2 linked regions of the Daphnia pulex genome follow. The protein of the gene in region 2 interacts with the protein of the main gene of each other region in a biochemical or structural test. Links are inferred from orthologs where the notes say so. Each region holds a gene or a part of one and is shown on either strand. Other genes may lie near its edges.

Region 1 (4,800 bases), on a different chromosome or scaffold from region 2:
GCGAAGTAAACAAAACAAGCCACCTGGTGGCCAATATTTAGAGCTCATTCAACATTTTTGACGGCGCGACCTCTCAAAAAGACAAAAACCGATTTGCACAAAAACGAATTGCTCTCTCGTTTCCGCTTTTACGAAGAGAAGCGAAAAGAAATAAGAGAGATTCGAGGGATTCAGAGACTTATACTTTACAACGAATTTGTACATTCGATAACTGATCTCAGAGTCCTTGATTCAGTTCTGATTTCTTTGATTTTCTTTTCCTTTGGCTTTCAAATTTCTGGTGGCGAAAAAAGTGACAGGGTCACCCTTCTTTTTTGTCCAACTCATGTGTCTATGCTGAATATCTCTAGTCCGTTCTTGTAGGAGTTTCGTAGTCTAAACACCGTTATCGGTTTAACGGACACGCTAGTGTATAATGCACGACGACGACAACATGCATAACCTTCGATAACTTTGATTTAATGAGTTTAATGAGCCATCTTTTTGTGGCAAATGCGCTTAGTCTGAATTATTATTAATTTCTGCATTGAAACCTGGTAAAAATAACAATTTTAATTCTGCTTTAATGCAGCGTTTTTAGTGTCATAATAAATTTAAATATTAGAATTCGTTTGCAATGTGGGCATTACTGATTGCGTTACTATTATCTTTACATTTTCTGTGAAATGGGGCTCGAACGGCTTGCCCCAACGACGAGGGAGGCATTCACTATGCAGTATACACTATTCATTAATTAAAAAATGGATATGAAAATTTAAAATTTCAATCCGGTTTTTGCACGAATGAAATCTCATTCAAAGGTCTTGCGTGGTCCTTACAAAGCATTTATATTCCATATGAGCCATGACCCTTGATTGCGATTTTTCCTTCACGAGAACAAGCTTTTGAATCCAGACAATTATGTCCCATGGCAACTGGACTTGAATTAGTCGACTAGAATTTTGCAAAGCTGTTACTACTAAATCGTTCAGGTACTATACTCTTACAATGTCTCAGGTATCACGATTTTCCAGATTTCTTTGTTCTTAATTTTTTTTTTAAGTGATGGAACCCTGGCGAGTGGAGAAGTCACAAGATTTGAATTGATTTTGTAACAATTAGATGAAACGTTGCCTATTCCCTTAAGCCAAAATAACTAAAATGAGTCACCATTATAACAGGCAGGAATCAAATATGTAGTTATAAGTTACGTTAACTACCAATTAAAAGACAACAATTACAGTTAACAACTCGAAATTTCCGAGTTGATGCTTCTTTAGACTACCCATGAAGATTTACACATCGGCACGAGAAAAGAATGAGAGAGAAAGATAGTATACAAGATCTAGGAAATTTTTGATGTTGGTCTTGTCTCACTGGTGTGTCGAACTTAGTCCAACTATTGCACGTTCAGAATTTTCTTAACAACTCGGACCACATCTTTTCCTTGAGGAAGAGAATTATCTTCGAGAGTCTTGGCGTAGGGCATAGGGATATCAGCGCCGGTCACACGGACGGGTGGGGCATCGAGATAGTAAAATCCTGGGCCTTGAAATTCGCAATAACACAGATATATGAAACCGAATGCAGACTGGAGAAATCTTATTTAATTACCTTCAACCATTCGAGAAACAATTTCAGCGCCTACACCTGACTGTGGCCAGCCGTGCTCTACTGACACCAAGTGATTTGTCTTTTTCACCGATTCCATGACGGTATCAAAATCTAATGGTCGTAGACTTCGGAGATTGACCACCTCGGCTTCAATGCCAATGGCACTTAACTCCTTTGCGGCATCTAAACACGTAGCAACTGCTCGAGAGAAGGCTACCAAAGTTATGTGCTTACCTAGTTTAAGAAAACAAGTTAAGATAAGACAAAGAAATTTGTTTTTGTCTAAGAATATTTCACGTATTACCAACACGCTCGATTTTAGCTTTGCCAATGGGCACAATGAAGTCCTTTGACAAAACCTCGTCAGAAACGTCAAAAGCAGTTCCGTACATAATTTCGTTTTCTAGACATACGACAGGGTCAGGATCACGAATTGCAGCTTTCAGCAAACCTTTGGCATCTTCCGCGGAATAGGGAGCTACAACCTAAAACATCACCCCCAGGGAGTGAAGCTGTTATAATTATAGAACCACAGTTAAATAAAGAATTGTTGACTACCTTCAGGCCAGGACAGTGGCTATACCATGCACCAAAGCACTGTGAGTGCTGGGCAGCAACTCCAGCTGCAGCTCCATTAGGTCCTCTGAAGACAATGGGTACATTGACTAATCCAGCTGACATACTTAAATAAATGGAAGAATGAATAAAATAATTAAGATTCCAATATTTGAGGAAAAATTGAAGTAAGCATCCATACTAGAAGGTTTTAGCAGCTGAGTTAATTACATGATCAATTGCTTGCATCGAAAAGTTCCATGTCATGAATTCACAAATAGGTCGTAGTCCTCCCTGAGGATAGTTGGAAGGAAAGTTGAAAATATTTAGTCAGTAAAACTTGTTACACTTCAAACTTACCATAGCAGCACCTGTGGCAATACCAGCAAAGCCCATCTCAGTGATGGGGGTATCAATGACACGTTTATCGCCATACTTTTTCCACAAGCCCCTAGAAATCTTGTAGGCTCCATCATACTGAGCAACTTCTTCACCCAGAATGAAAACTCGCTCATCCCTTTCCATTTCTTCATCAATGGCGGAGTTGAGGGCATCTCTCACTGTAAGCTAAAATGAAATATGAGCCTTTAGCATTCAAGCAACCTGCTATTACCGTCCATACCTGTGCAGAGGCTGGACGAGAAGTGGATATTCCTCGTAGTCCAACATATTTAAAAGCATTCTGTTTCGGGAAATGAGTATGAAAATGAATAAAAACAGTAATAATAATAGCAGATATGATTATGCAAGCTACTTTTACCTTTAACATCATTGTGGATTTCGCAAGAGGAGCCGCCATAGCCGGTCGTGTGCTTTATACAGAAAGGCGTGATCAGCTGATCGTGATCGACTTATTAATAGAACGCATAGTTTTTCACATAACCGGTAGGTGGAGGAAAAGGCGCTTCAGCATGCGCAACCAAGTAGCGCAGACACGACATCAAGCACATTGAATATTTTCATTTTTTTTTTGTCATTTTGAACATAAAAGCTGCATATTTGTTCTTATTTAGGCCTATGTATGCTTTTGTATTACACATTAAAAGTACGACCACATAAGTCTAAGTTTATGTTGCAGCACTTCCTGTGAAACAAAACCTCTTATTCCGGCTCCGGCGAGTGCTGGATTCAGTTGATTTCCGCAAAAACGGTTAGCAACTAATCCCATTGGTTGGATATGAGGCAAACGGAAGCATTATAATTACCGTTTGAGCTATTGGATTGGAAGTGATCGGAAGTGATTGTGCCCATCAATTATTATTAGATTTGATTTTGACGCTTTGATTTATCGCCATTATTGTGGAAAAGTGCCTGACCTAGCATCTTTGGAATATAATGTACCCCTAGTTTTTGGTATTCTTTAATATCTGGATTAAATTAAGCACACTACACACCAGTGAAACAAGACTAAAATGTAAAATTTCCTAGATATTGTATTATACTTTTCCGCTTTCGTCTTTGTTCTAGTGCCGATGTGTCAATCTTGATGGATAGCCGTCTGATGAAACAACTCGGGAAAGGTCGAGTTGTCAACTGTCGTAATTGGTTTGTTGTGTTTAAAAAACGAGTATAGTTAGAAGTTTTTACGTTTTGTCGTCGACGGCTTCGTTTTATATATAGGTGAAATTATTTAGTATTTCGTGCTCATTTCATTGAGGAACAAGGGAAATTGGAAAGTTTGAGAGAAGATATATAGAACCATGGAATAGAACATACAATTTACACGGGAGGAGTAAAACGAAGAAAAAGTGACACACAGTTTGGAATGGATGCGATACAGATCTGTACAGGAGATAAATAACCACAGACATATATTATATTGCAACAATGAGACTCGTCCGAACAAACAGACATTCCGACCATTTCACATTTGAACGTCAAAAGAAAACAAACGCAGAAGAATTGAATCATTTGCAATCGACATTCACCAAGTAGATCTCCGCCTCGCCGTGTTAAAGGTAGTAGTGGCTTTGACGTTTATTACAACACTGTTGATCGCCGTCCATCCGATTAGAATGAAGGTTGTTGCAACCCACGTCCACGAAGAGATCGTACAACTTGACGAACCTAAATGACGAAATAATAATTAGAATAATTAGTCAGTCGCTAAAGTAATGTTATGTAGATGTAACATGTAATCTTTTGGTGAACGGCCTATTTATATGCAATCAAGTAGCAATATTTCCAAGTGAGTTATTGCACAACCGATCTTCCAGGAACACTGTTGACTCAACTAATTCGAGTGCTGCTCTACGAAATTTCCAATTAGACTTGCGACTTCTACGTCATCTAAACTTTTGACTTGTTTATTTTCATTATAGATGTTGATACTTCAAAAGCTCATTTAAGTAGACGAATTTTGGCTTCCTTCCGCGCTTGAATACATAAAGTCTCATTTGAGTTATTCAGCTCATGGGAATAGACACATACGGTCACGCAAGTTGCCTGATGCTATGTATAACAATATCATTTTAGGCTTCATCTTGTACTCCGCTTTATTCCGTCAACGTTTTTTTTTTTAAATAGACTTTAATGAAAAATTCATTTCACTTCTCTCCATCTGCAGCTCTTTAAAGCCATTATATAGTTTCAGATGTCGGTCACGTATCTCCCAAAAAAACAATTCACGAAGGCGGAAAAACTTAAAACAAG
Region 2 (5,250 bases):
CACTTTCTTCTTCGTCCAGATCTTGATCAGATGCTGAATTGTAGACGCGACGTCGGTTGTTAGGTTTTGTAGAATCATTCACATCCATAACCTTAAAACTCAATAGAGTGAGATAACAGAAGGATTGAGGTTTGTTTAGTACATGCTAATACCGAATCTGCGTTGGTTAAAGGCTCCGTATCAGTACCACTTGCATCGCTGGTGCCACAAGGGGAATTTCCGTTTAAAGGCTGATTTGCAGGTTTAGCTTTCGTTAGCGCTTGTTTCAGTTTCTATCAATTAAAAATATTGTTGAGAAGAGTAAAGGATATTGATAAAGAAATTATTTTTGTTGGTACCAATTTGGCTTCCGACATTACTGGTCTTGCTGACTTAATTTTGCAACTACTTTGTTCCACGCCAACAGGAGCCAATGGAGATCCTACAGCAGGATTCACTATTTTAGATGCGTCAGTTTCGGTAGGTACAGGAATAGCAGGAATTTGAACTAAACGTCCATCAGGAAGACGTAGCAGAAGCGATGTCATAGGATCACTGGTGGCAGATGATTGAACAATCGGACGAGGCATAATATTCACAGTTGGGTTTGTGGCTGTCTTTGTGCAATTGCTTTGAAAAGTGTTGTTTTTCTTCGGTCGATCTTTTCTTGAACTGCAGGTAATTATTGAAGTGGAAATTGTTTTGCCGCAATCAGATAATGTGGCGGTCGTTGTATCTACTCTTTTGTTGAAAAATCCTTGGGACTCGGTTGTAGGAGCTGTTACAGTAATCAATGGAGTTGGTACAGGAGTTGTTGCTGGAGATGGAAGAGTCAGACATTCTGATGTGGACAATGATGGCATGAGGTAATTTTTTCTAACATTAGCTGATTTGGGAGGAGGCAACTGTGTAACTACATCTGAATCCAGTGGAAGCACAGGGAAGACATGAGGAGTGTGGAGAACATCATCTGATGTGGGAAGTGAAGGAGGACTGAGATGAGTCTCAGCTGCTCTTCTAAATTGCTCTAAAAAAAACAAATTGAACTATTTTTGACAAGTTTTCTGTAGTTAATAGTGGCATTTTACCATCAAAAGGATTGACATTCAAATCTTGAAAAAGCCCAACTTCTTCACAGTTTCTAATAAATCTTGTTGGGGTGGGGGTTTCATCAGCTATAATAGTTAAAAATTAGATTAATACAAAGGAAGGGTAACAGAATTTATTAACACAAAAATTTACATTTCATTTGTATTAATGAAGTACAGAGTTAGACATAAAAAAATCAACTCACCCACAAAATTAGGTGTCTTTGAGCCATTATTACTAATTGATTCAATTGAAAGGGACATGTGTCTCTTTTTATGAATACTCAAGTGGTCTTCATTGGCGAACCTCTTTAATTGCGAAAACGATGAATGAATAAGATAGCAAAACACCAACAGTCAACATTAAATAAAACTGTTTACAAATTATTACCATAGAACAACCAGGACTGGAGCAAGGAAATGGTTTCTCGTCATCCACCATTTGAGTATTTGAGGGAAATATCTTTAAACGATTCAATTGCGCAATAGAAAACGCGAAAATTAACGAAAATATTGAAGTAAACAATCTACAATCGTACACAAGTGGTTTTTCTTTCGAAAGATTCTCAGAACTGAGAAGAAAGGTATAGCAGACTACATTACGCTCTTTTAGGGTTGTGGACTTGTGGTCTGCAGACTGCAGTTTTTTGGGTTACCAAAAAATCAGCTGTTCTAACCTGCCTTCGTCTTCTTCATATGAGCACACCGTGATTTCCACTTCCAGTTCCGCTCATATAATTCCTTGAAAATGTTCCGATCATCGTTAGTTCGAAAGGCTTGTGTTGCAAAGATTACTTTGGAAAATGCAACGAAAACACGAGCTGCAAGGAAACTTTCGACGGTTGTGTTTCAGAAGGATATTTCAAGGTAATCATAGTTTTTCAACTAGCAGGAGCAAAAGCGTTTTTTCCCTATGATTTCCCATACATACAATTGTGTATCAATACTATTTATCTAAATTTTATCAAAATATATAAAAGATTACATTATCTTAGAAAGTATGTATGAAATAAGTGGATTGACGATCTGCTATTATTGTCTGCAAGCATTTTACTGGTGGTTTACTTTCTAGACGTGGAGAAACATATGTTGACAAGAGCACTGGGTATTCAACAGTCTCTATCATAACTGGACTCCATAAAACATCAGTAAGGATGTATGCCAGTGGTACACTTCCTTCCCATAAAAGAGTTGAACTGCCCGCATTGTCTCCTACCATGGAATCTGGAACTCTTATTAGTTGGGAAAAGCAAGAAGGTATACATACACCTTTAATAGTAAATTTCTTTTAATCACTCATTTGCTTGTATATATATTTTTTTAGGTGACAAACTTAATGAGGGAGACCTTCTAGCTGAAATTGAAACCGATAAGGCCACTATGGGATTTGAAACTCCAGAAGAAGGATACTTGGCTAAAATTATGATCCCTGCTGGCTCCAAAGATGTTCCAATTGGAAAATTGGTTTGCATCATTGTTGAAAAGGCTGAAGATGTAGCAGCTTTCAAAGATTTCAAAGACGATGGGGCTGCTGTTGCTGCTCCACCAGCTTCTCAACAACCAGAAATCATTACTCCATCTCAATCATCAGTTGCTACAGCTGGTATGCCATTTTATTTTTCATGCATTACATAATGCACACCTTATTTACAAGTTACATCCTTAGCTCCAGTACCCTCATCCACCGCCGCAACTTCTTCTGAGAGGGTATTTGCGTCACCATTGGCTAAAAAAATGGCTGCCGAGAAAGGAATTTCATTGGCATCTGTATCTGGTGGTTCAGGATTCGAAGGATCGATCACAGCTAAAGACCTTGATAAATTGTCTGTGGCTCCGAAACCCGTTGCTGCAGTTCCACCAACTGCAGCTGCTCCTATTCAAGCAGTTGCTGGACAAAAATATACGGATCTTCCTGTAACTAATATCCGTGGTGTTATCGCAAAACGTTTACTACAGTCCAAACAATCTATCCCTCATTATTATTTGACGGTAATAACTCGGTTTTCTTAAATATTGTGTGATAGAGAAATATTGTATAATGTAAATAATGATGCAACTTCTTACGCTAGGTGGACGTTACCATGGATTCAGTACTTTCACTTCGTCAGGAATTTAATGCACTACTAGGAAAGGATGGGGCCAAGCTGAGTGTTAACGATTTTGTCATTAAAGCTGCTGCTCTAGCTTGCCGTAAAGTTCCTGAAGTAAATTCATCGTGGCAAGAAACTTTCATTAGACAGTAAGTCAATTCTCTCATTGAACTGGTTCATGCTAGATTTTTCTATTTCGCATGTCGCGTGTCATGAACACGTGACTTGCGCAGCGATAACCCGACTACTTGTTTGTATCATAGCATAGGGGGTATAGCTCAGTGGTAGAGCATTCGACTGCAGATCGAGAGGTCCCCGGTTCAAACCCGGGTGCCCCCTCTCCTTTTTTTCAAGATTTTTATTCATTATTTTTACATATGTGTTGAAAATGTTATGACATGTCAGTAAAGGAACTATTTTTGCTTATAGGTATGACACGGTGGATATTAGTGTAGCCGTGAGCACAGATCGTGGTCTTATTACACCTATCGTCTTTAATGCTGAGAGAAAAGGTCTCGCTTCTATCAGTGCTGATGTACGCACATTAGCTGGCAAAGCTCGCGATGGAAAACTTCAGCCCCACGAATTTCAGGTAATAAATCGAAGATTGATTTAAGTAAATAACTATTTAATCCAAATTTTGTTAAATAGGGCGGCACTTTTTCCATCTCGAACCTTGGAATGTTTGGAGTTCGAAATTTCACTGCCATCATAAACCCACCCCAGTCATGCATTCTGGCAGTTGGAGGAACTGAAAAACGACTGGTAGTTGATGCATCCGCTGAGCAAGGTTTCCGTGCTGCCAATGTCATGACTGTGACGTTGAGTAGCGACCATCGTGTTGTGGATGGTGCAGTCGGCGCCCAGTGGCTGGCTGCTTTCAAGAGTTACCTTGAAAAGCCTAGCACAATGCTTTTGTAAAAAAAAATATCTAGCAAAGCAACCTTCGTGAATGTATGTTGTATCTTAAAAGTAAGGTAGTTTAGTTGAATTAGGAAATCTAGTTGATCCTAAGTTTTTTGTTTTAAAATCAAATTGGATTACCATTTTTCAGATCTGTACTGTTATTCTGTTAAAAAACCCTGTGAATAGTAGGGGACAAATAAAAAAGTGCTGACGAAATATCCTCGTAATTTATTCTTTGAATTTAACAAGCAACACGTGAGACAACAAATCAATTAAATATAAATTGAATTGAGCTCATGCCGTCATTTTAAGTTAAGTCTTCAAGTGACATTGAAATAAACACTTGAGTTAACATGGTAAGTGAATAAGGCGGGGTGTGAGAAACTGGGAAGATTGCACAAAGCCAAGCTAATGAGCTGACGGTTTATCAGGGTTTAGTGACATCAACTCCATTTCTCAGGCTGAAGAGTCCATTGCTGCTCAGACGAGCCATCACAACTATGAACTGAGACCTCTCCAGGAGTTTCAGGTGGGCGAGAAATAGATAAACACAAACCAGAATTGCCATGCACAATCGCGTTGGTCCTCAAATTGTGATGCCATAATTGTTTACTGAATCCCGAACAGGCCATAGCTCGCGCTTCGCCATCCAAATGGTCTACACAAAGGGATTCATCAGACATCAAGTAGCCTGGAAGAGTACGACCATCTTTTCGAGTGCTGTTCCATGTAGCAACCCACAAGTGTGCATCAAACCATTGCTGGACACAAGGAACAAGCTTCAGACGCCCGATTGGTTGCGATACACCTCCGCCGCCAAGGGGACGCTCTAAACATTTGCCAGTTGCTCTGTGAATAATCTAAATTCAAATGGTAAATTACTAATGGTTTCGAATGAAAGTTAAAAAAAACATTCATTCATTAATCATTACCTTTCCGAAAAATCTGTCCGGCCCAGGGAAAAAGTTCTCTGGCCAAACGTTTTTCAAGTACCAATTAAAATCATTGCACTTGAGTCTACTGCGCAAAGACAGGCGCGAACGGATAGATTGAGCATCTCGGAGACGATTTGCTTCTGCATAATCCCAGTAGTAGTAAACGAGACATTTATAAAGACGGTAACGTACTGAATTCAAAGAACAAGTTACCAGGATTCATTTTGAAGAAGAATTCTTTCCACTCATCCA

The links. The genes of interacting proteins can lie anywhere in the genome.
Region 1: the proteins of dihydrolipoyllysine-residue acetyltransferase component of pyruvate dehydrogenase complex, mitochondrial-like (region 2) and pyruvate dehydrogenase E1 component subunit beta, mitochondrial-like form a complex in vitro, tested with the Homo sapiens proteins (2 studies listed by BioGRID and IntAct, with this or other methods). The link is inferred for Daphnia pulex from reciprocal best matches to the Homo sapiens genes DLAT and PDHB.

Annotation. Positions count from the first base shown.
Region 1 is NC_060026.1:4,317,152-4,321,951, forward strand, and holds pyruvate dehydrogenase E1 component subunit beta, mitochondrial-like, read right to left. Parts: upstream 3,043-4,800; 5' UTR 2,948-3,042; coding exon 2,909-2,947; intron 2,831-2,908; coding exon 2,771-2,830; intron 2,716-2,770; coding exon 2,509-2,715; intron 2,443-2,508; coding exon 2,351-2,442; intron 2,276-2,350; coding exon 2,152-2,275; intron 2,079-2,151; coding exon 1,898-2,078; intron 1,828-1,897; coding exon 1,594-1,827; intron 1,528-1,593; coding exon 1,379-1,527; 3' UTR 1,217-1,378; downstream 1-1,216. Other genes in the region: neurotrimin-like, read right to left, coding at 4,073-4,215. UniProt on the Homo sapiens protein: The pyruvate dehydrogenase complex catalyzes the overall conversion of pyruvate to acetyl-CoA and CO(2), and thereby links the glycolytic pathway to the tricarboxylic cycle.
Region 2 is NC_060017.1:7,713,725-7,718,974, forward strand, and holds dihydrolipoyllysine-residue acetyltransferase component of pyruvate dehydrogenase complex, mitochondrial-like, read left to right. Parts: upstream 1-1,663; 5' UTR 1,664-1,815; coding exon 1,816-1,934; intron 1,935-2,139; coding exon 2,140-2,324; intron 2,325-2,391; coding exon 2,392-2,670; intron 2,671-2,733; coding exon 2,734-3,056; intron 3,057-3,136; coding exon 3,137-3,306; intron 3,307-3,424; exon of another isoform or gene 3,425-3,496; intron 3,497-3,586; coding exon 3,587-3,749; intron 3,750-3,808; coding exon 3,809-4,078; 3' UTR 4,079-4,279; downstream 4,280-5,250. Other genes in the region: cyclic AMP-responsive element-binding protein 5-like, read right to left, coding at 1-91, 153-272, 339-1,006, 1,068-1,154, 1,274-1,376, 1,459-1,509; polypeptide N-acetylgalactosaminyltransferase 1-like, read right to left, coding at 4,507-4,923, 4,996-5,138, 5,212-5,250.